Pelodiscus sinensis: one gene and its partner. The protein of the gene in region 1 purifies or fractionates together with the protein of each later gene. This does not show direct contact. Links are inferred from orthologs where the notes say so. Each region holds a gene or a part of one and is shown in the gene's direction. Other genes may lie near its edges. The genes, in order: RAPGEF2 and MAGI1.

Region 1 (15,187 bases):
AATTTAAATTTGGGATGAATTGAAGTCAAAGACTTGTAACTGCAGGCCTATGGAATCATCTTAATTGCATACAATAGGGTGGTGATTTAATTAAAGAATTCTGGTTAAAGACTTTGAACATTAAGCTATTGCTAGAATCCCCAAATTGAAATACGGTAGTATTCTTATAGTGAAGGGACATTTATGGTAAAGGATGCCACACAGATTATTTACTTATTAATATTCCACTCCTCTTTGCAGTAGTGGAATTTTGATCGTCTCTTTTAGTTTGACCACAAACATTTCCGTGTTCTGTTTTTTGTTAGGTATGTTTATGAATCTTTTGGTGTTCACATAAGAAAAAAAAAGTAGCAATTGACTATAGTTCACATTTACTGTTGTCAGTTCTTAAATGACAGAGCCTGATTTAAACACAAACTTCGCCAATTCTCTTACCTTTATTATGAACTCCACTTTGGATTATTAAAAATCCAGAAATGTAATTTACTTTCTACTAAGTATTCTATGGTATTTATTTGTTGGATTATTTGCAGTTCTTTTAGCTTGGATAATGAAAATAGAATAGTAGTTAGTCAGCTAATATGCTGTGATTGCTGCTTATCACTCAGACCTCTATACTTTTCATTATTTCTGTTGTATTTGCCTCTCTCTCATCTTGTACTGAGATTGTAAGCAATTTGGGTCTCGGACATCTTTTTTTTTTTCTTTTTGTCAATTTGTACAGTGCCTATTACAATGGGCCCTGATGGCTGAGTGAGGCCTGTAAGTGCTACTGCAGAACAATAAATAATCATGGAGTATAAAATTAATTTCTAGTCAATTTCCCTTTTTGTTTCTCATGCACCAGGACATCTGGTTTGCAAAAATGGCAACAGAATATTTTGTAACAATTAATATGAAACTTAACTTCTTTTTTAAGAAAAAGAAACAAAGTATTGGTAAAAGCTTAGGTAGTTTTAGAACAACATATATATAGATCACATTCAGGGGCAGTAGTGTGTGGGCTGCAGCCCTCTCCCATCCTGAGTTTAGTATAGAAGATATGCTCCTAGGCAGAGATCTTAATTGCACCAATTGTGGAATGTGAGTTCTGTAGAGCTTGGGGGTGAAAGTAACTTGATTTTCTTATGGTACTGTCATATCACAACCTCCCTCGGGGGCGGGGGAAATTCAGGGTAGGGGAGCTGGTGGGGCTGCAATACGACAGTGCTTGTAAGAAATATAAGTGTGAGATGAAGAGTGGGGGGGCTCAGGGCAGGGAGTTGGGATGTAGGTAGGTGTGGGGGAATGCTGTGTAGGGGGTGGGTTGTGCAGGTGAGTGGGGTATGAGAAGATTCAGGGCAAGAGGCTGTGTTTGAGTGGGTGATGTGCAGGAGTCAGTGCAGGGAGCTGGAGTGTGTGGAGGAGAGTGCAGGAAGAGGGCTTGGGGCTGGCCCAGTTCCAGAGGCAGAGGCGGGGAGGGGAGCCTCAGGGCTGGCCTGGGGCAGTCCGAGTTGCAGCCAGGCTACCTGGCTTGTAGATGAGTCCCTGTCCCATGCTGCACCTGCTCCTTCTATGATAGCTGTGAGCTGACTATATGGGGCACTGTGTCTGTAAACAAATGGGCAGATATGGCTTGAGAAGACCCTCTGGGCTGGCAGTCTGCCACTCACTTCCCCCTCTTCCTAGGAGCTGCAGCAGTGCACGCTGCAGGGATGGCATGTGCATATGTTGCCCAGCATCTGGTCAGCATGATGAGAGTGGGGCAGCAGGACAGGCTGGGACATGGATGTCCCACCAGAAGCCTGACTGAGAGCATGTATGTCTCCACCTACAATGCACCTCTAGCCCTCCCCTTTCATCTGCTACCTGGCTGCCTTCTGCTTAGCATAGTAGGTGGGACCTCCAAAGCCAGCCTGCAGGAGAGCTCCAGGAGCTGGTGGGAGCCTGACTGGGGGCACACTGCATCTTTGCCTGCAGTGGAGCACGCCGCACTGGCCAGCTCCTTATTAGAGCAACACACCCCGGTTTGCTGCCTTACTGTCACTGCTGCTGAAGTCTCAGGGTACATCTACACTAGCCCCCTAGATCAATCTAGGGAGGCTAATGAGGGCGACCGAAATTGCAAATCAAGCCCGGGATTTAAATATCCCGTGCTTGATTTGCATGTTCCCAGCCGGTCGCCATTTTTTAAATTGACTAGCCCAAAGTAACTATCCTCGTCTACACACGACAATGAAATGGGATTCCGATTTAAAGCCCCTAAATCGAATTAGCTGCTAAACCTCATTGCAGGAGGAATACCAGCTAATTTGAGTTAGGGCTTTAAATCGGAATCCCGTTTCACCGCTGCGTGTAGACACAGGCAGTTACTTCGGGCTAGTCAATTTCTAAAATGGAGACCAGCAGGAAACATGCAAATCAAGCGCGGGATATTTAAGCGCTTGATTTGCAATTTTGGTCACCCTCATTAGCCTCCCTAGATCGATCTAGGGGGCTAGTGTAGATGTACCCTCAGAGAAATGGCTTCTTGGCTTTGCTTCAGTCGGAGTCCTTTTTTTCAGCCTAACCTAAAGCATAAAGATAGGCTGATCCACTCAATAGGGAGCTAGCCCTGAGAGACCAACTTCCCAGTCACCATGGACTGCTTGTATGACCTCACATCAGTCCCTTAGGGATAGAGTTTCAAAAGTTTTAAGGCACCCAAAGATGCAGTTAGGCATCCAGTGGAGTTTAGCCTTAGGTACTTTTGAAAATATCATTAGGTGCCTAAATCCCTTTGAAAATCTGGCCTTTATTTGTGTGTCCCTCAGTGCCCCCTCTGTACAATGTGTATAACACAGCACTAGCCAACCTCACTGGGGAGATGTGATGTGAGGCACTCAGGTATTATGGTAATGGAGTCATATAAGTACCACAAAAACAAGGAGTCCTCTGGCACTTTAGAAACTAACATATGTATTAGGGCCTGAGCTTTCATGGGTAAAACCTACTTCATCAGATGAATTGGAGTTGAGTTTACAGAGACCCTGGCTATCTCTTCCCTGGGTTTTGGCTTCTTTTCTCCTATTTCCCTCGTCTCTTCCTCTTTTCTCAATATAACCTTGGCTCTGAGGGCTTAGCTATATTACTTCTCAATCCCCTTCCTTCTCTTTTCAAACCTTCTTCCATCCAGGGATTCCTGTTTTACAGGTTTGGACTTCCTGATCCTTACTTTAATTACTAGACCTTTTATATATTCATCACACATCACAGGTGCCCAGTTTGTAAACAAAACAGACTCCCTGTCCCAGGAAAAAAAATCTGGAGAAGCACTTATTTTCAGAAACCACTGATGCTAGTATAATATATCCAAACCATTCATAGGACATCTGGCAATGAATAAAGATTTCAGTCTATACATGTAGAGCCATGTAGCGGAGCCTGGACAGCCCTCGAGAGAACAATGTCTGCAGTGTTAGGCCTCATTCCAGCCTTGTCCAAAGTATGGATCTCTAACAAACCACCTTAGGTCTGACTCGAGCCTGGGCACACACATATGTATGCATTCAGGCCGGGCCAGAAAGGGTGGGGAAAGTCAGGAGTGCTTGCCCAATTATGCAGAACTGGTACAGGACAGCGAGACCAGGCCAAAAAGAGCAGAAACAACCTGGTACTAGTACATCCCATTTTTAATAAGAGAAAATTTCCAGAGACAGACAGAAAAAGTATTAATGAAGCACTTTTGCAATATTTTGGCATTGTAAAATGTATCCTAGATATTGGCATAATAGGTATTTTATGCAAAATGTAGTTGATTGGTAGATATTACTAGAACGACCAAGTCTCGCTTTGCTATAAATATAGGGGTAGAAGATCTAATCAGTGGGAGGGATTGAATAAGGTGTCCCTACTACCTTACTCATTGCAACAAGAAGATGAACCAGTTCCTATTGCCCGATGCATTGTGGATGCCTCTGCACATGGGAAAAGAAAGAGGCCACGACCTCCTGTCTGACAATCGTAAGGGTAACAGCATTGGAACTGTGTCTGTGTATGTGTGTGTGTGTGTGTGTGATTTACATGAATAAGTATATTCATATTCTTATAATTGAGTAGCTTGTGTACTGTCCTAGGTAAAGGTGTTATTATTACTGTCTGTGCTTACTATCCCATGTATTGAAATAGATCTGTGCAACATTGCACTGCTTTCTTTTACTATTTTGTGCACAGTAAAGTTAACAAGAGTTCATCTGAGGTGTTTTTACTGGCTCCTCTCGTTATCTAAAAACTGAACCACATGACAAGCCATCAGAATGTAAAATCCATCCTTAATCTGTGTCTGCTATCTTTGACATCACACAATGATTGAAATTTAGCAAACACACTTGCCCCTCACTGGGCAAATTTTCAAGGAGTGCATTCTAATAATAAAGCACTGTACATATTAACTTGAGTGTGCTTACGGTCCTTCCTTCCTACTCCACCTAAAGATGATTCATTGTGATTGGTTCACTAGATGATTTGATGGCTATAGTTTAATTTTGTGTTTGGAAGATTTCTGTCTCAGTGTTTCCACAATTGAGAGAGAACATATCTATGCCAGTTACAGCATGCACAAACTAGTGCTGGTGATGGCTGGTAGAAAAGCTCCATAAAACAAGTGGCTTATCCAGCTGAAGAGTCTCTTAGGAAGGGTTGTGCTGGGTCAGTGAGACTCTCCCACCACTAATCTAAAGTAGATCATAAATGTATCTAAAGTTGTAATTAAGGACTAAAGAAAATATACAGTACTTAATTTGGTAAATAAAAGTACACCCAGGGTAATTCATGAGATGCCCTTTTGTATCCTGTCTTCAAATATACCAGCATGTTGTACATCTCCTAAAATAAACTTATTTTGTAGTTTACATAGCTATTTACACAATTTGTATGCAATTACTTATGTATGTAATTTCATACAAGATACATGAAAATGTAGTTCTACATTGACAACCTATTCTGACAGAAATTGTGCATGAGTTCCATGCTGGACTGACTTAAAAAAACAAAACAATCTCTGTAGTTTTAAGTATTTTGTACCTATTTTGCCAGTGAGCATTGTTCGTATTTGAGACTCATATGACTTAACAATCTAACAACATCCATTTCTTTAAATATCTACCTTTAAGCTTTATGACAAGTGCAAAATCTTAAGCGGAACGAAATAGATTCCATGCCATCATGTGTTGAAAGGATAATGTCTGTTTGCATTAGGCCCCATTTATTTTTACCTAGTAAATCCAAATTAAGAAATAATTAGTGTTGGGAGGCGGGGGTGAGGGGGAGGGGAGAGACTGTTTCACTGAAACCAAATACCATTGTGACTCTCAAATACTATAGTAATAGACACCATAAAATAGATCAATCACCAAATTAAAATTCTTAGAGGGACTCAGTCAATATATAATCTTAAAATTAAGAATAACAGTTGTATGGTAAAATAGAGTTGGTAGCTTTCTCTTGATTTGCGGACGTGCATATCATTTCACTTGTAAATTAAACTAGTTTTTCTGCTTGTAACATACAGGATTTAGTGCCCTCAAATGCTTCAAAAACAGATCAATGCTTCATATGCTTGTGTGGCACTTACACTATGGCTTAGTCTACACTGCAGGGGTTTTGCGCAAGAAGCCTTTCATGCAAGAGTTTTTGCGCAAAAACTTCTTGTGGAAAATCACATCCGGACCTCAAAGCGCATTGCAAAAGTGATGTGCTTTTGTGCAAGAGAGCATCCACACTGCATAGACACTCTTGCACAAGAAAGCTCTGAAGGCCATTCAGAGAATGGTCATCAGAGCACCTGTGCTTTTTCCGATAGGCGTCCATGCCCGCCTTTATGTGCAAGAGCTGTAGTGCAAAAAGGAGTTATTCCTTGTGGGGAGAGGAATAACTCTACCGCCAAAAGCCCTCTGTTCTGTCAATTTTCTTGCGCAAAAATGCACTTGAGGTGTGGACGCTCTGCCGGTGTTTGCGCAAACCTTGTAGTATAAACATAGCCTGTGTGTGTATTTCAAGAGAATCACAGGCACCCTGGCTTGGTGATAGGTTTCTCAGAAGAGAAACTGGCACTTTCACACAGTTGCAGCTTCCCTTATTAATTGGAAGGAATAATACATTCTTTCTGGTTTTTTTGAGTGGAGGGAGGGGGAGAGCTGAGGCACATTTAAAACTGATATTTTTAGGGAATAGGGAATTGATTTCGGTCCTGTCAATTTAAACAACATCCTGTCTTTTCAAACAACTAACTCCTGTGCATTGAAAATCAAGATGATGAGATATGGAACTTCCTCCATTTACTCCAACACTTTACACAGAATTCTCTGCACTGGCCACACAAGCATTTCATTAAGATCAGACCCTGCTAATTTGTATACTTTTGCAGCTTTTTCTATTGAGGAAGACCCAGTGCTTTTTTTGTGATGGTACTGCCTGGTACGCAGTACTGGCACCTCCAGATGCAGTACCAGCACTTCCAGTCAGAGCTCAACAACTTTTCTTCTGGAGTGCTGGCACTTTTTTTTTAAAACAAAAAAAGCACTGTGAAGACCTATATGGAGAAACTGACTAGATTTAGTAAATTTCACACAGCTACTCCACAGACTCCTTAAGCAGTCAGCTAGCTCTTCCTAAACTAGCCTGTAAATTACTAGTTCACTTAAGCCTTCAAATTTAGGTTTTGTTTAAAAAAATATTTTTCATATGCTTAAATTTCAATAAATTAGAAATAAACATCCTGTAATGTTTGCACCTTAAAAGATGTACTCTTGTGCTATTATTTGAAAAGCTATCATTTAAAATTTTTTAAACCTTTATAATGTTAACAGTGTTTACATAACATAGCACGGTAGTATTTGGAAAAGCAAATCCACTGAACAGTTCTACATTGCTGAAAGTATTATGTATAATTAACAAGTATTATTTGTTAAGCAGCTGTGGTATGCTCAATGTTATGGGAAACACAAATAACGTTGGTCTTTGCTGCAAGGAACTCATAGTTTAAATGAAGTCAGGCTCCTATATGAGAAAATTCGCTAGGAGACTCAAAAAAAGTAAATTAAAACATCTTGTTTTTCTTTCTCTGTTCTCTTATATAACATGACACAAACGGGACATTTGGCTGATGTTGATTAGCATAGAGACAAGTGACAAGAGTGGACTTGCCAAAGAAATTACAACCAAATTTTAAAACATATTTAGGCACCAAATTCCAGTTGAAATCAATCAGGAGTCAAGTGCTTAAAAGTCCCCTCTGAGCCTAGGTTTTTGCTGGTCAGCATTCACAGAGCCTCCTGAAGTCTTGATGCCAACCCTTTACTCCCATCACCCTGCCCCAGATCTAGCTAATAAATAGTCCAGTGTTCTAGCTAAAGCTGAAACCTAGGCAGGGGAATGCCTATTCTGCCAATAGGGGACAATCCTTTAGGTGTGCTCTGTGCATGCCTAAAACTGGTTAGACCTGAAGCAAACAGCCGGGACACAGACCACAAATACTGCACACCACCTATCCAAACCGCCAATAGCTTGGGTAAATGTAGTGCAAGTGTAAGACACAGCACAAGGCAGATTTGGTTGCTAGAGCATAAGCTACTTAAGCGGCTGACTGAGCTTTGGAGGTTTATTATAGATGAAGATTCCAAGCAGAGGAAGGTGCCTACCTCTGGCTTGTCAGCCAGGACACTGTTTAAACACCTAAACATGGCATTTCATTCCTGGATAGTTTAGGAAATTCCCTAGTCAACTTGTTTAGCTTCTGAAGATCCCTTCCTTACATGAACAACTCTTGTATGGGGAGCCATGCTGGTAGTCGGGGGCTGAGAATTCCATTTGTTAGGTGCAGCAACACTTAAATACCACTGAAGACATGGGGTAAAGTTATTGTGGAGTGTGGAAAGCCATGAGTTGGTTTAGATTATATTTGGCTCCAGTTGAAGACATTTGTCCATTTGTTAGCAGAGTTTGCAGTTGGGGGATCTTATTAGATCCCTAACTGCTTTTAGATGATGAAGGCAGCAGCAGCATGTGCCTCTTATTAGAAGGTAAAACCTTTCCCTTTGGACCTGGCTAATATAACCCATGCAGTAAATCTTGTTATACAATAGCTTGGCAATATACTGGAAGAGTTCCTGCACTGGTGTGTGAATAGTCACAGATTGAAACCTCTGGCAGTTCTCTTGAATAAGTAATCAAAATTCTTTCATCCTTAAGCTTTTAATCATTAGGATGCCTTTCTGAGAGATGTAATGTATTCTCTATCAGTATAAGTCTTTACATCAGGACTGGATGTCTTTCTAAACAATATTCTGTCCTCAGAAAGTATGGCTTGATGCAGCTATTTGTGGATGAAATTCTAAATCCTGTTAAGTGTAAAACAGATTATCATAATAGCCTCTCCCAGGTTTGACAATCTATCATTTTGCCAGGGCTAGAACAGATTATTGCAATGTCTTCCACATCCAGACACAGTTTAAATCCATCTGTCTATGAACTGAGTATGGTATAGAGTCTGGCAACCTGTCTTGTGCACTGCCCTGTCTGCAATTGCTGCACTCACAGCTCCCATTTGGCTGGGAACTGGAGCAGCTTGTGGCAGGATCACTATGACGGGACTGTCCCAACCCTTAACTCCCCTCCCCCCCCTGCTCTCTACACCGCCAATCCCCTGCTCTGAATCCCTCCTGCTCCCCAATCTCGTGCACTGACTCCTGCCCCTCCAAGTCCCAACCAACTGCCCTACTCCCGCACCCTCTGTACATTGTAGGCTTTCCTTTGCTACTCCCCAAAATGACTTAAAAAGGCTATTAGGAAAGAAACTGTATTAATAACACAAAGTCAGATTTATTGCTTTAATCACATATTTTACGTTCACTAGCAACAAAATGCTCCCCTTCAGTTTTCACTTCTTGCAGGGGGTCTGCTCTAGCCTATATGGGAGTACCTGGAAGACATTTACAGCACAAACCCCTGTTCTCACCCCATGGGAACTGGACTCCTCTCCTTGGGAGAGTGGTGGCTGCCGGTAGGGGCACTGGGCTTTGAAGCCTGCCCCCATATGGGTACCTAGCGAGGCTACCCAGCCTCCTGGTCTGAGAGTGGTAGCAGAGCTGGGTGGGTCAGGGGCTGGCAGGCCCGCCCGGGGCCCGAGAGCGGTGCGCTGACCCGAACCCCGACACCCCTCTTGGGATCAAACAGCAGGCGACGCTCCGCGGGGGAAGAGGTGTCGGCCGGGCCGCGGGGCGGGAGCTGGGCGCGGCCCCTCCCCGAGCGCTGCAGCCGCCGCTGGCCGCTCCCCGCCGGTGCGGCGGGCTCCTCACCATGGTTGCAGCAGCACAAAGCCGCCAGCGCCGGAGGCCGCTCCCCCCGTGACAGCCCGGCCCCGCCCGCGCCGCGCCCGCCAGCTCCCCGCGCCCGCCGGGAGCGCAGCCCCGCAGCCCGGATGGGAGGCGCCGGCGGGGATGCAGCCGCAGCAGCCGCGGAGCGGGACGGCGGAGCCCAGTAGAGCCGGAGTCGGGAGCCGCCGCCAGGCGCCAGGACCCCGGGAGCTCCCGGGCCGCCCCTCCCGCTGCCGGCCGGGCTTGCCCGGGCGGCGGCGCTGCTGAGTCCCGGCGCTTCACCCCCAGCGGCCGCGAACCCGGAGCCGCGAGAGGCCGCGCCCGCCAGCCGGGCAGCGCCAGGGAGCGGAGCCCGCCGGGACCAGCCCGGCTCCCCCGCCGCGCGCCTCGGGCCGGGGCTCGGCGCCGCTTCCCAGCCCAGCCCGCACCCAGCAGGGGCCGCCGCGGGGCCGGGCAGGCGGCGGCGGGGCCGGGGCAGAGACGGAACGAGATGGCGTCGTACGTGGATAACAGCTTCCGCCAGGCGGTGATGAAGAACCCGACGGAGAGGAGCCCCCAGGTACCCCCCTGTGTCCCTCTAACGGCGCCAGAGGGGCCCGTGACCCTCCCTTCGCTCTCCCCCGTAGTGTCCCCTTAGGGAGCCCTCCCCGCCCTCGAGATCTGCTGGGGACTTACCCCTTGCAGCGCCCTCCTCTTAGCTCTCGGCCCCCCGCTGCCCCGGGGAGCTCCTACAGCCTTTGTTGTTTCTTTTCCCTTTCAAGAGGAGCCTAACCTCGGGCACCGACCCCCATTTTTCTTCCTGGATAGGAGCCCCAGGGTACAGGCAGGCATCACCTGATCTGTGCCCCCGGGGTGCTGCACACGGGGCAACAGGTACCTATTTCCTTATGCCCTTCCACGTTGCATAGTGCAGTTTTTTCATCTTCCACCCACTCCCACATAATGAATCCTCCCTTCCCCAACATTCCCCGTAGCTACTGCTTGTTTATCTCTTGTTTGTCTCACACACACATCATAAACATTTCCTCTGCTTCGAGTACTCCTTGATCTGTACATACGTATGTCAGCTAATCTGTTTTCAGACCTCTCTAATCCCCTTTCCCACTCACGGGATGGAGGAACTCCTTATTCATTCACAGCCAGCAGTAGTTTTAAGATTTCTCTTCCCACTCCTCTCTCGCAGTACTGTTGTTACTTTTGGGGGGCTCACATTCCCTTAGTCGGTCTGTTCATTCCCTTTATCTTTGTCTAAAATTGGGCAGAGAACCCCTGTGTGGTCAGACAGCAACAGAGGAGAAGGGGGGAGGACATCTCTTTGACTGTGAGTTGCATAAATCCTGAAAGCTGACTCTATGGGAAACCCAGATTTAGTAACTGCTGCTGTCTTTCCTCTCTGTTTTGCATAGTGTGTTTTAAAAGAAGATACTATGGTGTTAATAGAAACTTTGAACACTATAGTTTGTATAGGAGTGCAACATACTCACTGTTACACAAACTTAACTCACCCAAAATATTGATGTATAGGATGCTAGTTCATGGAAAGAGAAGAAATGTTAAACTGAGAGCATGTGTCTATTCTTAATATATAACAAGTAGTTTAATTCTGGAATTGAATTCACTGCGTACATATATAGCGCATACAACATTACTGGCCCATCCGTTTATAAGAGAGGTGAATGTTGTATTTTTGGCAAATCTTTGCTTCCTTAAAATAGGGAGAAATTCTTGCAGAAATAGAAATGCTTTCATAGTAACATGGGAGAAGGTTTTTTTAAATGCTGTATTTGAATCTGTCTTCACTTGGGGGCCCACTTATATGTGGTATGTGTGGGATAAATAACAATTTTACTTATATACTCCTGTAGGATTTTTAGCGCATGGGGCTTTGTAAACATTAGAGACAGAAGGGAGGAAAATGTGTAAAATTATTTTGACTTGTTTTTTGAGTCTCCGTAAGGTGAGTGAATTCTTACTGCTTTGGAGTGGTGACTGGATGTGCTACTGCTGCCAACTGTCTAAAGACAAATAAGCTTTATGCTGATCCCTGAGTCAAGCTGTAGTTCAATAGCTAATGATTCAAGGAGTTACTTTGCTCATTAGTTGCAGTGCCATCTGTCCTGTTTTCTAAAGATTTGTCCTATTTCTCTAAGAACTTAGTATATGCTGATCTTAGAGAGGGGTTTTATTTTTTATTACCATGGTTACTGATGATTTTGCCAGATTTTTGATTGGCTGTTGACATTTTAAATTGTGGTTGAGGAAAGAACTTTGACTTTTGGGGCAGCATCCAGAATTCCTTCTTTAGATAAGTCATTGTGGATTCAGTTTTACATCCTTGAGCTTGTGACAACGTCAGATCACGTTGAAAAGTATGGTGTAAATGTGTTAGAAAAGATAGTCCTGATTTTATGAAAATACATTATTCTTTTCTACATCTCATTCTAGAACAAATTCCTTTTATTATAGTGAAGTTAAAGTTGTGTTTGTGTGTCCTTGCTTGACCTTTTCAAATGTTTATTATAGTACTTGCCTTGAATCTTGGCACCAGTATGAAAGCCTACAGGCATCAGAGTAGCACAACTAGTGACTGAAAAGTTAGATTTGGAAACCGAATGCTGTTATTTCAGAAGGATACTACTTGTTAATATGTAGTAAGATCTCTTTTTCTGGGAGAAGCTTAAATTCCAGTAATGGGAGTCAAAGAGATTTGGGAGAACATTATAAAAAGACTGTCAGTTGGTCAGCAGCAGAGATAATGGCAGTTGCTCAGAAATCAGTCAGGTAGTGGAGCCTCCAAACCAGCCTGTGAGAAGACAAAACGTCCACTGTGACAGTTGTATATCTGTGCCAAATAAAGTGAACTGTTAAACTTTCCAGTGTCCCTGCCAATCAGTTTTTTTAAGAAGAATTGATGCAGTGAAGAAACTAACCTGAATGCAAAGGGATAGAGCCAATGCGAAGAACACAGTATAGAAAGCTAAATCCAGAACACTAGGATTGTTTTAGCACTACAAAATTTAAAATATCCAAAAGCCTGCTGTAGTAGTCTACAGAGAAAGAAACCCTAAATCCTTTAGGGTTTGACTGGCCAAAACAGTCAACAAGACAGACTAGATCTATGGGAAACATGCTTTGTTGGCAGTGCTGGACGTCTTCAAGGTTGGTGATCAAATGTGACTCTTCCTACTTCTGGGGAGAAGACTTGATGAAGGAAAATTCATTTATACTTTTTAGAGTGTTTAAGTATTTTTATTTTCACCTGTGCTTTTTCTGAATTGAGTGGCTTAAGTTTTTAATTTTAAAAAAGAATTTAATTTTTCTTTCCTATCTGAGAAGGAATTACTTCATTTTAATCTTAAGGCATACTGTATGGTGGTGAGTAAGCTTCTTTCTTGATTACTTTGTAGTTTAAAATCAGTATTTTTATCAAGCCATAAAGGCCAGGGGCTATTGTTGTGCTTAAAAAAGTAATTTTAGCTATCTTTGATTTTGCTGCTGGCCTTCCCTAAAAATAAGCCAGATTTTTATTAGAAAGGTAGTTATTTAAGTTTGTGTTGAAGAATCTTCACATATTAAGTCGTATAGTTGTGGCTGTTATGAAAAAGGGTTACATTTTTTATATTGACAGAAATGTGCATGTAAGAGAATGTGCATAGGCAAGGAAGCATCTGTTGGTCATGTTTCTTTGTTCTTTTCAATGCTTATTGAATGCTGTGTTTTAGCAAGTGCTTTATCTATACATGCCCAGCTACTCCTCTCTATTTGTGATGTCTGTAATTCTGCATTTGATGTTAGTGTTTTGCCCTCAATTGTGATGATGTAAGTTTAGGGTAATGACTTCATTGTGAGTCAAAATGAGAATAGAGGACTGACTGCAGGATAGCAAGCCCGTGTTTGAACACACAGCTTTGCAAACTATTACATTAGATTATGAAGGGAGGGGGGTCAATGAGATTTTGTTAGAACTTTTTTCCTGTTCAGAAACCCTTTTCTAATTAGGACAGCTTTTAAAAGGTCCTGTTAGAGCATTGCTTCAGAAATTATTGCAGAAAAATCTTTATTGTGGGAATGTGTCCAGGTTTACACTGGATATTCAAAGCCTACCTGAGCTATTCTAGTCAATGGAGTGTTGTATTCTACTTCACAAAATTCAGAAAATAATATAATCTAAAATGTATATGACCAATTGTTTTACATTATTAATTGCATCTCTTGTATAGCAGAACTCTTCTCTTACGTAATTGCTTTATTAAGCTAATCATATTGTTTTTCTTTGAAGGATCAAATAGAAAGTTTGATCGTCAAATATTAAACTTCTAAATGTTAATGAATTCCGATCATATTTATGCCCCCAAGCTTTATGTAATATAGTGGGTTTTCTTAAAAATGCCTTTTAATATATTTGTGGCTTCAAGCTAGGGATGTAATAGTGTAGTCAATTAACCCATGAGCAAAAGCTTAGAGGTTAATGCTATAGACTACATGCTTGCCCCCCTTCTCCTCGCCAGTAATTTTTTTAGCAGGCTGGCCAGAAGCCCGGCTCAGTCCTGGCTTGTGCTGGGTCCGGGACCTGCCTCCGCTGTGGCTGTGCATTGAAAGTGTATTAGGGGCCAGGTGGGCCAGCAGCCTGGCTCAGTTCGGGCTTGCGCTGGGTCCGGGAGCTCAGATACCTCCCCTCTCCTGACCAAAGCAGCAGCGCATGGTGGCAGCAGCCTCTGTATCAGAGGCAGCAGCATGGGGACAGGCAGCCGGTTCGCAAGGGGAGCTTGTTTTTAAACTGATTCCCCTTGCAGACCAGCTCCAACCTGGCACCCCACAGAGGCAGCAGCGCAGAATGGCAGGGATTCCTCGGGAGTGGAGCTGGAACGCACTGAGAAGCGGCGTTAGTAATACGTTTCATGTTGAAAGGGGAGGACTATCTAATTACCCAGTTGACGTCTGCCAATGACATCTGTTAATGTCCGAGTACCTCAAGACAGGATGCTTCTATCTGGCAGATATCTGCCAAATATTTGAGAGAAACAATCGTTTAATTATAGGAGGTACTTATATTTATTTCAGTTAATTTTTCAGTTTGTTCTCCAGTAGCATTGTTTTTGGAATACAGCATTGTTTTATCTGGTGACCGATGAAAGAGTTTAATTGTATGAGAACTCATTAATAGGGACAGACATGAACATTCACTTCTTGATCTAGCATTATGTTGCTGAATCATTCCAAATAAGTGTCAAGCTATTTGTAGTGCTTCATGGTCATAGAAAACAAGTGTTTCAAGGGAAACTGTATAGGGTGCTTGATTAAAATACAGATCTTTTATCCATCTTACAAATGCATTTAAAGATTAGTTCCTTTTTTTAAAAGAACTTTTTATTTTTCTATCTACTTTTTGTATTTGTCATTGCTTGAACAACAATATGTGAGTAAATGTGTTGTTTAGGGGTTCTTCTGAACTAGCAAAATGCTGTGATGTGTGGGTTGCACATACCTCAGAAGAATGTTTACGTTAAAATATGTAATATATTTTTAGCCATTTTTAATGCACTTGGGCATTTGTAAATGGGAAGAGCTAGCACAATGAGCAGCAATGTAATGATTGCTGTTTAGGAGCCCCTAATCGAAGACATTAGAACAGTTGTGTCTATCACTTTTCTTTCAGAATAAAAACACAGAACAAGTTGTAAAGCGGGAAGAAAAAAAGAGAAATTCTAATTAATATAAATACTTGAATATTTTTAGTCCTGGAGCTATAAAACACTGATCCCATTCAGTGTTACCTAATGCACTTGCAAACTTGAGCCCCATGATAAATGCAGAAGTTTCACTTACATGATATACACTTGAAAAATCTGGATACAATA
Region 2 (15,039 bases), on another chromosome or scaffold:
ATTGGCTGCCCTATGTGCCTTTCCCCATTGCTGATCTGTCTGCCTGTCCTTAGTCTGTGATCTTTGGAGCTGGGGCTTTCTTCTCTGTTTAGAAAGGGCACCTTGGTGGCAGGATCCAGAACTCGTCTCCTGACTCATGTGCAGAGCCAGACCAAGTGAGCCTTACTGGGTCCAAGTAAAGAGCATAAAAGGATTTGGAGAAGTCACTTTGCAGCACCCTAAATGGATTGGCCCCACAGAGAAGCCCTAAAACCAGGAGAAAATTGAAACTTACTTCTACTCTGTTCAAAAACTTACTCTGTTGTCGTTGTTTAGCAATAAGAGCAGCCCTGGGAAGAGAGGGATGCCAGGGCACAATACACGCACAGCTGTGTAGGGCACCACAACATTTATGCCTGGTGCTGGCCCAGGAAGTCCCAAGCCCATGGCCTCTGCCCCCACCTACCAGCACCTACAGCCACAATCCCCTGCCCCTCCCCCTTCTGCCTCCTTCCCCCACCAGCCTCTGTTCCTGATTTTCTCACCCTCCCTCCCCCAGCTCCTTCCCCTGCAGCCCTGAGCACAACCCCCTCCATGGCAAAGCTGTTGTCCCTCTCCTCCTGCGGTGGGGGATGGGAGATGCAGGTGCTTGGGCTGTACAGGGCACCAGAATTCATAAGGAGAGCCCTGGTCAGTACTATAGCATTAGTAGGGACACAACACCTCCCCCAGCTATCTGTTATCTATTATATAATACAGTAGCAGGATTGTTTCTACAGCATTTGGCCATTTTTTCCGAGAGGCATCTCAGATCCATTCACTAGCTCAGGGAAGGGCAGTCACCGCTCATGTGATATTCACATGGAGCCCAGATGCGTTTAGCCGGGGCAGGGCTCTCTCAAAGCAAATCATGCGAACCACTGCTGGGAATAATCTATACCCTGTTCCCAGCAGAAACACAGTGGCTGCGTCTAGACTGGCAAGTTTTTCCACAAAAGCAGTTGCTTTTACGCAAAAACTTGCCAGCTGTCTACACTGGCCGCTTCAATTTCTGCAAGAACACTCTGGCCCACGAAAGCTCATCATCTAATAAACCATCTTGTTAGTCTTTAAAGTGCTACATTGTCCTGCATTTTGCTTCAACTACCCCAGACTAACACGGCTACATTTCTATCACTATGTAAGAAATCAGTGCTTCTTGCGGAAATACTATGCTGCTCCCGTTTGGGCAAAAGTCCTTTTGCGCAAAAGGGCCAGTGTAGACAGCTCAGATTTGTGTTGCGCAAAAAAGCCCCGATCGCGAAAATGGCGATCAGGGCTTTTTTGCGCAAAAGCGCGTCTAGATGGGCACAGACGCTTTTCCACAAAAAGTGCTTTTGCAGAAAAGTGTCCGTGCCAATCTAGACGCTCTTTTCCGCAAATGCTTTTAACGGAAAACTTTTCCGTTAGAAGCATTTGCGGAAAATCATGCCAGTCTAGATGTAGCCAACCTCTTCTCATGTGTGGACTCAGACTTGTCTCTTGATGTGTATCAGTTGGGCCTTATTTCTGATGAGCAGCCATGCAGAAAAATCCCACAAATAAAAAATAAAGCCGTCTTTTTCTAGACAGGCCACTGTCTCATGTTTAGCAGACCTGCCTAGCAGCCGATCCCTGGGGAACTTACTCAGCCTGGTCACTGAGCCATGCTGCACAACCCAAGACCGAGAGGCAGGTCACGGCCCTATGACGGGCAGCTTGGACAGCCAATGGGAGAGACCTCTAAAGCAGCTTAGCAGATGCTAGGCAGTTGTTCTTGGAAGGCTAAGACACAGCAGTGTCACCAGCTTTCAGGTCAAACACAGAGCAGCAGCGGATCTTTGTAATAAAAATTCCAAATTAGAAAAGGCAGGGAGAGAGTTTAAAGAGAGAGAAATGGACACACACAATAGTCCTGGATAAAAATTCCTATGTGGTTATTTGAGCTTCTTTTTGGAAATTTGCTGACATTATCAGCTGCCCTTCTGAATGTTTCTACTCACCCGTTCCCACAGGTGTTGTACATCCCAAAGTTTGGTCTGTACCCCCCAGTCCTTGGGGGAGAATGAATATGGGCATTGAAAGGCCAAGGATTTTATTTCCTGGCCTTTCCACAGTCCTGCTGTGGGCAAGTTGTTTGGCTTTTCTTCTACCCTTTATCTGTCTGGTCTATTTCAATTATCATGCTATTGAGGTACAAACTATTTCTTATTTATGTCTGGACATTACCTAGCCAAAAGGGGGCCCTCACCTCCACATGGGATTTTAGGCACGACTGTAATAGAAACAACAATGGCCCAACGTGCATTTTACCCCTCTTACACAGCGGCCATACTTTTTTATTTGGGGAAAAGCGCAGAGGTGGGGAGACTGGAGACAATACCCTTTACACACATCAGCTACTACCTCCTGCATAATGATACTAGAACACAAACTTCACATTGAAGCAGAGCATCAAGTTCATTGGGTCAGTGAAACAAGCGTGGGGGCAAAAATAGTGCTCAGCCACCACTGATAGGGCATGACTGTCAAACTTCTGTCTGTAACTTTCAGAACACTGGTTCCCACGTTCCTCCTTGTATTCTAACTTTACAGGTCACCTTGGTATACAGATAACCAGAGAGATGAAGTGTGAGGGAAGATAGCGAGAGATGGGGGGGGGGGGCAAAGTCTGACAGACTGTGACCTAACACCTTACAGCAGGCTGTTCAGGGAGCAAAGAAGGGCTTACTTGTTTCAACCCCAGAATTCCGATCCGCAGCTGTGTTCTGGGTGCGGTGTGTTCATCGTCTTCATTTAGGAACCAAATCCAGCATTTCTTGCTATTCAGACTCCATTCATGGGTAAAACTGCTTGGATGGCTGAGGCAGAGCTTGTTGTAGCTCAGAAACTTTAGTGGTCCCTGTGACGTAGTGGGGGTACCTGGCTGGTTTCTATGCTGCTGGCTCTGGGGTAACCCCCACTGGCTGCTGTGGGTACCACGACCCAGCAAAACAGGATGAGTCACTATGCAAACCAGTATGGCCAGACACCCCCCATGGAGAGGAACAAAGGAAGGTGGAATGCTGCCCTGGCTGGGGGGCAGGGCTGGAAGAGGGTTAGTTAGTTGCTGGCTGTCTGGGAGCATGGAGGAGACAGGCTAGGGAAAGGGGCTGGAGTTTAGGGGCCCAGTCTCCCCCATCTCAAGGGGGCCTGAGGCATCCTAGCCCAGCTCTGTGACCAGATTACATCTGTGCTGTGCTGTATCCTGGAGAGGCAATAAACTTCCTCTATTCCACCGGCTGGTGCAGTCTGTTCATGCCATTTCGGGGTGCAGGAGACGGGGGACCCCCAACGCGCCGTCACAGTCCCATATACTAAATATTTGAGTTTCTTTTTGTCCTCCTAAATGGTAAGAATTAGGACTGCCAGATTTGGGGTGCAGCTTCTTCTTAACAGAACTGAAAGCAAGGTTAGGGTTTGGCTGTGCCAGAACAATGGGATGTGTGGTAAGTGGAACTGTTTTTCTGAGAAGCATACAGAAAAGAGACAGAACTACCAGGCAGGTGAAAGGAATTGGATGAGGGAGCCGCACACTGGTCCTGAACTGCCCCAGCTCAGAGCCTTCCACCCCAAGCACCCTATAGGGAAGGCAGCAGGGACTGAGGTCTCCCTACCCCCCAATTTGTATGGGTTCATTGCTAACTGTTCCCTTTCCTCATGGCGCAAGGGGAAAGTGCAGAGTTTGCTGTATTCCTCACTCTGACTGGGGCATGCACGGGGCTTGGACCTGCCCCAGCAAGGGGGCCATGCATCCCCACCCCAGCTGTGCCCACTGGAACGGCAGCAATCACAGCAAGGAACTTTTCACCTGGCCCCAAGCTGCTGTGGTGAGAGAGGGCTGGGGTAATCCTCTTCCCCAGAGCAGCCTGCAGACTGAACCCTTCGTCCCCATCCCCACCCTATAGCAATGATTCAAATGGAGCATGGACATTTTCATTTTTTTTTTTCCAAAAAATAAAAGCTGAGTTAAGGACCCCAGCAACACCATGTAAATATTCCAGTAAAATATATTCTCATCCGCTGCACAGCTCTGACTTCAAATTGGGCTTTCAGCTTGAGGGAGGAAAGAGCTTTTCTGGCAAGAGATAACTCCCCTTTTTGTTTCCCATGCAAGTTTCATCCTGGGTCAGTTAATGATGTTTTGGAGTTGCTTGCAGAGCTTTGGCCTATCCTTAGTGGGAAAAATGTGGTAGGGAGATGATGGTGTGGGATTATCAACTCCTTTGTGGGGAAGGGCTGGGTGCAGGCTTCTCTTCAGGAATTGGTTCAAGATGCCATTTTTCATAATCTCTTAAACAATAAAGTACACTGAAAACCCTGGGTCAACAGAATATTAAGAGTGCAGAGTCAGAAATGCCAGAATTAAGGATGCCTGTGCATATTTATTTTGGTCTCCCTGCTTGAGTGCCTTACAGAATAGTTTTTAAGGACATGACTATGTTGTGTATTTTTTTCCTGTAAGACCCTTGCCTTATTTAGTGCCAGCCTCCAAGAAACCTTTACCTTGCAAGTGTAAACTGAGCTTCAGAGCCTCCAATGTAGTCAAAATTTGATGCACTTTCTCTAAGGCAGTAAAAGGCACAACCCTCAAACTAGAGCAAAAATCTTACTAAACTTCAGCTGCATCGCACAGACACATCTTCTCAATAAAACAGTTGTGAGAATGGGAAAGTTCAAAACATTTTAATTTTTTCCTAACTCATTTTGTGAAATGGTGGAGCTGTTTTCTGCTGAAACTAACTCAGCCAGAGGCACACACCCAACCTGGAAAACTTCAGCCTGAATAGTTAAAGTTGGAAAAGTTATAAGTAACTCAAAACAGGGACTTATAATGGAAAGAGTTAGGCAACCTTACTACAAGCTCCACCTTTTGTAACTAATGAAGGAAACTATGAACTAGCTGCAGTTTGAGCAACCCAGAAAGAGAAGGATTTGGACCAGCTGTAGAAAAGATAGACATTGTCAAGCACCCAAAAGAGAGTTGCTCTTGTTTCTCCCTCTGCCAGGTGGCCAGGAGGTAGACAAACTATAGAGCTCCTCACACCACAGTAACCCCCCGTATTCCTTGCAGCTTCTCAGTTCCCAGCCTACCATTCCAGACTCTTTTTGCTTTGGGAAGTAACATCACCATGAACTCTATAATCACTGCACCCTCAAGTGAGGGCTTCATGCCTGCATTTCTGATGTTTTTCTGCCTCCCTTTCCACCCCATACACAAGCAACAGCTCTCACAAACTCTCCCCTCCCAACAGTAATTCACTTCCCAGCATCTCTGTCCAGGCACCAGCAGCTTGGACAGGATCTTTTCCCTCCCCCCACTTCATCCCAGAAAAAGTACCAGGCAAACTTTTCTCTCCATCTCTTCCTCCCCCCCCCCCCCCCGCCATTGCTTCTTCTCCCTCTGCTCCCAGCTCATCACCATCCCCACTCTCCATCCATTCCCAAGGATCCTTGTTCCTGCTACCTCAGCCCCCAACCCTGCTCCCAGCTCACCTCATTTCCTCCTTTCACCCCAGCCTGGCTCCTTCCCCTGTCTCAGCCCCTCCCAACCCCCAGCCTCCATCACTCAGTGTAGCTCCTTGCCCCTGGACTTCAGCTTCCACTTCACACCTCTGCTAGTCTGCCTCCTGCTCCCCTCCCCCCCAAATCCAGCTCCTTGCCCTTTACTCTCCCGTCACTGTCCTCCAACCCAGCTCCCTCCCATCATCCACCCCCAAATCTGCTCCTTATCCCTACTTCTCCTCCCCCCTTTACTCCCCACCCAGGTCCCCCTTTTATCCCAGCTCCCTTTCACTCCCACCACCCTTTGCTCCTCACCCCAACTCCCACCCCGTTTCCCCATCCTCTTCCCCCTTTGCTTCCCATCCCAATACCCCCTTCTCCCCCAACTCCCTGCCCCCTTTGCTCCCCACCCCAATTTCTCCTTCCCCCATCCTCTTCCCTCTTTGCTTCCCATCCCAACTCCCCTTCTCCCTCCCCAACTCTCTGCCCCCTTTGCTTCCCATTCCAACTCCCCCTTTCACACCCAACTCTCCCTTCCGGCCCACCTCCCCATCCCAACTCCCCCTTCCCCTCCTTTGCTCCCCACCCCAACTCCATCCCAACTCTCCCTTCCCCCACCCTCTTCCCCTTTGCTCCCCACCCCAGCAGCCCCTTCTCCCCCAACTCCCTGCCCCCTTTGCTTCCCACCCCAACAGCCCCTTCTCCCTCCAACTCCCTGCCCCCTTTGCTTCCCACCCCAACAGCCCCTTCTCCCTCCAACTCCCTGCCCCCTTTGCTCCCCACCCCAACAGCCCCTTCTCCCCCCAACTCCCTGCCCCCTTTGCTCCCCACCCCAACAGCCCCTTCTCCCCCAACTACCTGCCCCCTTTGCTCCCCACCCCAACTCCCTGCCCCCTTTGCTCCCCACCCCAACAGCCACTTCTCCCCCAACTCCCTGCCCCCTTTGCTCCCCACCCCAACTCCCTGCCCCCTTTGCTCCCCACCCCAACAGCCACTTCTCCCCCCAACTCCCTGCCCCCTTTGCTCCCCACCCCAACAGCCCCTTCTCCCCCAACTCCCTGCCCCTTTTGCTCCCCACCCCAACTCCCTCCCCCCTTTGCTCCCCATCCCAGCTCCCTCTTCTCCCCCCAACTCCCTGCCCCCTTTGCTCCCCACCCCAACAGCCCCTTCTCCCCCAACTCCCTGCCCCCTTTGCTCCCCACCCCAACTCCCTCCCCCCTTTGCTCCCCATCCCAGCTCCCCCTTCTCCCCGCAACTCCCTGCCCCCTTTGCTCCCCATCCCAGCTCCCCCTTCTTCCCCCAACTCCCTGCCCCCTTTGCTCCCCGCCCCAACTCCCTGCCCCCTTTGCTCCCCACCCCAACAGCCCCTTCTCCCCCAACTCCCTGCCCCCTTTGCTCCCCACCCCAACTCCCTCCCCCCTTTGCTCCCCATCCCAGCTCCCCCTTCTCCCCCCAACTCCCTGCCCCCTTTGCTCCCCACCCCAACAGCCCCTTCTCCCCCAACTACCTGCCCCCTTTGCTCCCCACCCCAACAGCCACTTCTCCCCCCAACTCCCTGCCCCCTTTGCTCCCCACCCCAGCAGCCCCTTCTCCCCCAACTCCCTGCCCCCTTTGCTTCCCACCCCAACAGCCCCTTCTCCCTCCAACTCCCTGCCCCCTTTGCTTCCCACCCCAACAGCCCCTTCTCCCTCCAACTCCCTGCCCCCTTTGCTCCCCACCCCAACAGCCCCTTCTCCCCCCAACTCCCTGCCCCCTTTGCTCCCCACCCCAACAGCCCCTTCTCCCCCAACTACCTGCCCCCTTTGCTCCCCACCCCAACTCCCTGCCCCCTTTGCTCCCCACCCCAACAGCCACTTCTCCCCCAACTCCCTGCCCCCTTTGCTCCCCACCCCAACTCCCTGCCCCCTTTGCTCCCCACCCCAACAGCCACTTCTCCCCCCAACTCCCTGCCCCCTTTGCTCCCCACCCCAACAGCCCCTTCTCCCCCAACTCCCTGCCCCTTTTGCTCCCCACCCCAACTCCCTCCCCCCTTTGCTCCCCATCCCAGCTCCCTCTTCTCCCCCCAACTCCCTGCCCCCTTTGCTCCCCACCCCAACAGCCCCTTCTCCCCCAACTCCCTGCCCCCTTTGCTCCCCACCCCAACTCCCTCCCCCCTTTGCTCCCCATCCCAGCTCCCCCTTCTCCCCGCAACTCCCTGCCCCCTTTGCTCCCCATCCCAGCTCCCCCTTCTTCCCCCAACTCCCTGCCCCCTTTGCTCCCCGCCCCAACTCCCTGCCCCCTTTGCTCCCCACCCCAACAGCCCCTTCTCCCCCAACTCCCTGCCCCCTTTGCTCCCCACCCCAACTCCCTCCCCCCTTTGCTCCCCATCCCAGCTCCCCCTTCTCCCCCCAACTCCCTGCCCCCTTTGCTCCCCACCCCAACAGCCCCTTCTCCCCCAACTACCTGCCCCCTTTGCTCCCCACCCCAACAGCCACTTCTCCCCCCAACTCCCTGCCCCCTTTGCTCCCCACCCCAACAGCCACTTCTCCCCCCAACTCCCTGCCCCCTTTGCTCCCCACCCCAACAGCCCCTTCTCCCCCAACTCCCTGCCCCTTTTGCTCCCCACCCCAACTCCCTCCCCCCTTTGCTCCCCATCCCAGCTCCCTCTTCTCCCCCCAACTCCCTGCCCCCTTTGCTCCCCACCCCAACAGCCCCTTCTCCCCCAACTCCCTGCCCCCTTTGCTCCCCACCCCAACTCCCTCCCCCCTTTGCTCCCCATCCCAGCTCCCCCTTCTCCCCCCAACTGCCTGCCCCCTTTCAGCCCCCCCGCCTCTGCCCCCCAACTCAGTTCCTCCCCAGCCGGGCGGGCAGCCGCGGCTCGGGCCGGCGGGGCGGGGCGGGGAGCGGAGCGCGCTCGCAGGGCGCCTGCGCGGCGGTGCCGGGGGCTGCCGGCTGGCACGGGACGGGCTGCGCTGGACCCAGCCCGGCGGCGGCGGCGGCTCCGGAGCGGCTTAAAGGGGCCGCGCGCGCAGGGGGCCGGGCGGGGCGGGATGGCCTGAGCGGCCCGGGCTCGCCCGCCACCTGCTCCCGGGCGCCATGGCCCGCGCCCTGCAGCGCAAGAGCCACTGGAGCGGGCGGCTGCACCAGTGCGCGGCCAGCCGGGCGGCGGGCGGGCGGCCGGGGCTGCCCCTGCTGGGGGGCGCGGAGCACGGCCAGTTCCCCTACGTGGGGGCGCCGGAGGAGGGCGGCGAGCCGGTGCTGGCGGCGGGCGGCGAGCTGAGCCCCGGCGAGCTGCTGCTGGAGGTGCAGGGGGTGCGCGTGTCCGGCTTGCCCCGCTACGACGTGCTGGAGCTGCTGCGCGGCGGCCCCGAGCCCATCGCCCTCGCCGCCGTCAGACCAGGTGCGGGGCTCGCGGGGGGGACCTCGGGCCGAACTTCGGGGCTCGCCGCCGCCTGCCACCTGCCCGCCGGGCAGCCTCGGCGGCGGCTCCTGCCAGGCGGGGGTGGCTCCGCGCAGCCCGGCGCTCCGAGCGCGCAGCCACTCAGGGATGGAGGCAAAGCGAGACTTTTTGGGGGGGAGTTGGTAGAGAAGTTGGGGGGAGAGTTGGCATTGAAGGGGGGGCGAGAGGAGAGTTGGGGGGATTTGGTAAAGAAGTTGTGGGGGGGGTTGGCTGGGGGTGGGGGAGAGAGTTGGGGGGATTTCGTAGAGAAGTTGTGGGGGGGGGTTGGCAGCGAAGTGGGGGTGGGGGAGAGAGTTGGGGGGATTTCGTAGAGAAGTTGTGGGGGGGGTTGGCAGCGAAGTGGGGGTGGGGGAGAGAGTTGGGGGGATTTGGTAGAGAAGTTGTGAGGGGGTTGGCAGCGAAGTTGGGGGCGAGAGGAGAGAGTTGGGGGGATTTGGTAGAGAAGTTGTGGGGGGGGTTGGCTGGGGGATGAGGGAGAGAGTTGGGGGGATTTCGTAGAGAAGTTGTGGGGGGGGTTGGCAGCGAAATGGGGGTGGGGAGAGAGTTGGGGGGATTTGGTAGAGAAGTTGTGGGGGGGTTGGCAAAGAAGTAGGGAGTGGGGGAGAGAATTGGGGGGATTTGGTAGAGAAGTTGGGGGGGTTGGCAGCGAAGGGGGGAGGAGAGAGAGTTGGCAGCGAAGTTGGGAGGCGGGGGGGAGAATTGGCAGCAAAGTTGTGTTCGCTTCTCCTTTTGCTCCGGCGTCCCTGCCATGGGGGGGCCACAGCGGCTCCCCGCTTCCTTACCCCATGGGGAGTCTCCGAGGGGGTAGCAGGGTGTGTGTGTAACTTGGAAAAACCCGGTGTGGCGCCTTAGAGGCGAACACCCCCATGGTACCGTGAGTTTTCCCGGGCCAAGCCCGCTTCCTCAGACTCGTGTGTATCCCAGGGCGTGGGTTTGGCCCACGGAAGCTCTTGATCTTGTGAGCGGCTCAGGTGCTACAAGGCCACTCGCTGGTTGGTGGTGTGCCGCAGGGCTCAACTAGACTAGCCGGGAGCAGTTGGTTGGTGTGGTTGGCTTTTTTGTTTCTTTTTAAAGCACACAAAGGGTTCATTTCTATCGGTCATCTGGGATCACTGAATGACCTTTGAAACACCTTGTTCGCAAAGCATTATTAAGTGGGGGTCACTTGGATTCCCCTGTGCCAACAGAACCCTGTTGTCATGGGGAAACTTGACTCTTTTGTTTTATTTCCTTCCAGTCTGGCCTGCCTTAAGCACAAGGAGCAAACCCCTGAAGACAAAAAACAGGACTATGTAGCACTTTAAAGACTAACAAGATGGTTTATTAGGTGATGAGCTTTCCTGGGCCAGACCCACTTCCTCAGTCTTTTTCTAAGTGTACCAAAAACCTCTAGCTACAGGCGGTTCTGGAGGCTTAGTCCTTGTGGAGTGAAATGCTTGCATCTGATAGCTAACTCTATTAGTGAACAAAGCAAATATTTCATTTCACTGGACCTGGAGGCATTTCCTGAAAGATTTTACTCCTACAACAGGGATGCGTCTCTTACAGCTGGAGCATTTGGTTGCACTGCTGGATTATGACTAAAGTCTTGTTAAAAAGCATAGGCATGTGATTGCCAGCTGCCTGCCTTAGCCTTGTCAAAGGGTTGGCACAGTGTGTGCATGGGAAAAGATGTAACTACAGTATCCTGCACCAGGAGGGTTATTTTAATCTTGCTTTCTCTTTTAGTGGTTGGGATTGTAGGAGATAAGTATCTCAACTGAGACTCTAGAAAGCAACAGCAAAAAGCCTTCCCTACTGAAAAGACACTTTACTTTTTGCAGGTTAGCACAACAGGTCTAGATAACAGGTTTGTAGTTTCCAGTGTGGGACTTGAATTTAGTACCAGGAAACTATTCCTGTTCCAGCAGCTGTTATTTGAAAACCCAGGATCTTTGAAACACTGTAAATAGGATTATATTGGAACACCTGTAAATTTGCATGGTGGCCTAAAAAAGCACACCAGGTCATCTATAAATGGAGGCAGGAAGGGATGCTTTGTTAGGATAATTCAGGAGATTCTTTAGAGGAAAGTGTATTACTGCACAAACGTGCACATCCCAAACTACAGGGATTTGCAGTGGTTGGCTAATGCTGCAGTGTTTTCTGTAGTTGATTTGCAGGCAACAACCTACTGACTTGGCTCAGAAGAGAATTAATCTCTGTCTTTGTTGTTTGGCTGTTGCCTTTCATGTAAATCAGCAGAGCTCTCCTCTGAACTTCTGTCCATTAGCCCTATTAAAAGCTAATGCTGTAGGTTCCATGCACTTGTTCTGTGGACGTTATCAGAGGAGTAGTGTTCTGTCCCATCATGTGATATGTTATGTAACAATGTGTAATCTTGAGTTGTCATTGTAATATATGTCCGTTTCCTTTTTAAAATGGAATGTGAGTTCAGAATTCCCCCCCCCCCATTACATAAAGAAATATCAGTGTAAAGACTAACTTTATCAAACCTAAAATCAGTAGAAGTGTCCACCTTCCCCGCCTCCCTTTTTTACCTGCAGTGGGAACATCTGGTGCCCCCCACCCTGTATTTGCAATGCAAATGCTGAAGCACTGGAAATAGGGATGTAAAATTTTCTGTAAATTGTTAATCGGTTAAGCTGTAGGTTTAAGCTATGAACCGCCTACCGAGCTGTGGGTGGGTTTGGGGTGTTGGAGCAGGTCCCTCCGCCCATGGTGGGGTGGGCCGCCCTGCCGGTCTGGAGCAGCCCCTTAGGCGGGGGGTGGGGGACTGCTCCTGCCCAGCTGAGCACTGGTTATCCCAGTAAGCATGCCTGTAAGGCAGGGATGGCCAACCAGTTAGACATGAAGAGCCAAAGGAGCTGTGGATAGTAGTGCAAAGAGCCACACATCCCTCCCCCAGTTTCCCCCACTCTAACCCAATGCCCTCCTCCAGACCCAGGCATCCACAGGCCCCTCCCATTTCAACCCAATGCCTGAGTCTCACCGGAGCTGCCCCAGCCACGCACGTCTTCCTCCAGGAACTGGAGCACATGCACAAAGCGGGCATGCGGCTCTGAACGAGCCATAACCCGGAAAGCCGCATTTCTGTGAGCAAAGAGCCACGTGTGGCTCAAGAGCCACAGGTTGGCCACCCCTGCTGTAAGGCATTGCTTACCGTTAAACATTTACATCCCTACCTGGAAGTGAAATTGACCATGAACAAAGTGAAATTGGTTTTCTTTGTTCAGACTGAGTGAAATGCATACAGTAAGCAAACATAAAAAAGTGCAAATAGGGTTTTAAGGGCTGTTTGTTTAAGCACTCTTTTGATAATGATAATAATTTGAGATTTTCACAGTAGTGCAGAATTATGAGTTTTAGCTTGTGCTTTTTTAAAAAACGTATTTAAACGTAAATGGTTGCAGGAAAGTACGGGATGTGTCAGGCATGGAAGGTTGTCAGATGTTGAGGTGCAAGAAATTAAACCTTTATAATCATGAGAACTCAAATAATCAACATGTCAAAAATATACAAAGTAAATATTCTTAATTCAAATGCCAGTAAGTTCTCAAGCAGCATTTTTTTTGCCATTCTGTAAATTTCTGTTACAGAAATATAATTTTGTTGATTTGTAGATGTATGCATGGTGAAATGGACATTGACCAATTTGACTGATTCAGACTTAGCCTATTTAAAATGCATGACTTCTATGTCCATTTCCAGTAGCAGTTCCCCTTTTTAATATATCTTGAACTGATCATATTCGGCAAGGGTTGCAAGTTACTCAAACATGCTACAAAGTACAGTGTTAAGTGAATGAGTGTAAACACATTTTAACTGTCTGATTCCATTTCCCCTACATCTCCCCAGTCCTTAGTGCCTGCCTGACTGGTGAAGTTTTGTGACAAACTGAACCTGGAAACTTACATGCTTTATTGGCTTGTCGCTTTGTATGACATTTACAAGGCTGGGAAAACAGGAAGATTACTATAAATAAGCCAGTCATCTGCAGGCTTGAACAGAAAAAACAATGGATTTGATTGTTGGTTAACACAAACACCCAAACAAAAAACAACTTTGAAATGAAGTTTTTATAGGTTATACACACTCCTCACCATTAAAGCTAAGTTTTATAGGATTAACAATTCAAAATGCAAACTTTTTATTTAACACTTTCTTTTCCTTAGACTATTCAGTTTGAATGGGCACTTGCCATACTGTAGTGATGAAGGGGGAGGAGGCACATAAGAAAACAGCTACTTTTATTAACCCTTATAAACAGTTACTCCAAGTAACTGGTCATATGGGAGGTGTGTGCTTTAATTTCTCTTATGCTTTGAACATGGAATAAGTGAACAGATCTGCCCCATAGATACTTTTGTATTTTTTTTAAAAGTGTAATGTTATAATCTCTTTTTGTTTGGGAGAAAAAGTGCTTCTGAAATTTGACTTAGTACCTTTCAGTGCTGTTAGAGCGAGGCCACTTAAGGGTAAAAGTGAAAAATGAAAACAATGGAAAAGATTTTACGTCTGAGGTGTAGTGTTTTTAAAATTACCCACTATTCTTTCCTTTTTGTTGCTTCAGTTTCAAACAAATAAGTGATTAAGCTGTATTCAAATTAATAAATATAGTTGTATGTACCACTGCATTTGGTCTAAAACTGCAAAACTGGTATTCTTTCTCCTGAGGAAGAAAACTCACTAAGAAAATGCTTGTTTTTGTCACCAACAGAAGTTGGTACAGTAAAAGACATTATTTCACCCACTTTCTTTATCGTTCTCCCGTTAATATGTTTGATAGTGTAAGACTTGTATTAGTGTAATATCTTGATTTCCGTTCTCCGTGCTTAACTTTGTAGCATTCTGCAATAAACTTAAAAATTCCAGGCTAAATCCATTGGATAAAGAGACAATCCTTAACAGAACGTTCTTTTTAATTTCTCTCTCTGGTTGCTGCTTATATATCCTGATTGAGATGACCTGTTCTGTTTGTGCCAGGCTTTGAACATGTTGTTCCTGACAACAGACAAGTTAACTTCTCCACAGCAGACCAGTTGTGTGCCTTTCATTTAATACAGGATGTCTTTTTGTTCTTTGTTTCCTCACGACACATGGAGTTTGAGGGATATTTCAAGATTAGTCAGTTTTTTTAACTCTTTGATTAGATGCATATGTCAAATTGTACAAGTCATCCTTGTCACTGTAAGCTCAAAGGTTGGTGAAGAAAACTGTCTTTTTTTAAAATTAAGTACTACCAGCTGAAGTTATGGTACTTGAGGATCAGTTTACATGAGTGATTTTTTTTTTTTTTGGTTACTCTGAAGTTAGTAGGAAAGGAGAGGGGGAGGGGATTTTTAAAAAGTTAAGTACAAGGTAAACAAAGGCAGACATTCATTCCCAAATGGTGGTCGCTATCTGCTGTCATGTATGTTTGGTTCATTTAAAACCTTATCTTGAGCCTGAGAGAGATTCTAAAACATGATTAGTTGACACTACATTTCTATGGTGTGCTGACATTAATTACAATTGAGCAGCCATGAGGTGTTGGACTTCATTAATGTCACTAAACCAGCCCCTTTAAAAGTTACTTGCATGGGCACATATTCTGACATCATTTTCCCAGGAGGGGCCTGTGAGGGATGTGGTGTCTTCCAATTATTTTTTTGTATAAATATCGATTAATATAAAAAATACCGATGCCTTTATGCAGGCTGTCAGGTTAATAGGTAACATTAAACATATGATATGCGGATTACAGAACCTCTGGCTGGTGCTAAAACCAGACAAAATATGGTCACTGAATCATAGCTCTGAAATACAAAAGCAGGGTGCAAATTTTTATATTGGACTTCCATTTACCTGTTTCAGGTAAATGCAAATGTTATAAAACTCTTGCTGCTTTTAAGAATTTACTTCCTTGATCTGTCACATGATCTCTCTTGGGTTCTGATAGAGGGTTTATTGTGTTTTTTTTTTTTTTTTTTGTTGCAACACATCAACAAAACATCAAACAAAAACACATTGATAATTCCCTGTGCATTTCCAGTTTGACCTCCATCCTTAGGTAATAG

The links.
Region 2: the proteins of RAPGEF2 (region 1) and MAGI1 purify together in Homo sapiens (co-immunoprecipitation; 3 studies listed by BioGRID and IntAct, with this or other methods). This does not show direct contact. The link is inferred for Pelodiscus sinensis from reciprocal best matches to the Homo sapiens genes RAPGEF2 and MAGI1.

The regions. Positions count from the first base shown.
Region 1 is NC_134715.1:59,793,461-59,808,647, forward strand, and holds the start of RAPGEF2 (rap guanine nucleotide exchange factor 2), read left to right. Parts: upstream 1-9,028; 5' UTR 9,029-9,819; coding exon 9,820-9,888; intron 9,889-15,187. UniProt on the Homo sapiens protein: Functions as a guanine nucleotide exchange factor (GEF), which activates Rap and Ras family of small GTPases by exchanging bound GDP for free GTP in a cAMP-dependent manner.
Region 2 is NC_134721.1:6,036,477-6,051,515, reverse strand, and holds the start of MAGI1 (membrane-associated guanylate kinase, WW and PDZ domain-containing protein 1), read left to right. Parts: upstream 1-8,466; 5' UTR 8,467-8,616; coding exon 8,617-8,920; intron 8,921-15,039. UniProt on the Homo sapiens protein: Plays a role in coupling actin fibers to cell junctions in endothelial cells, via its interaction with AMOTL2 and CDH5. May regulate acid-induced ASIC3 currents by modulating its expression at the cell surface.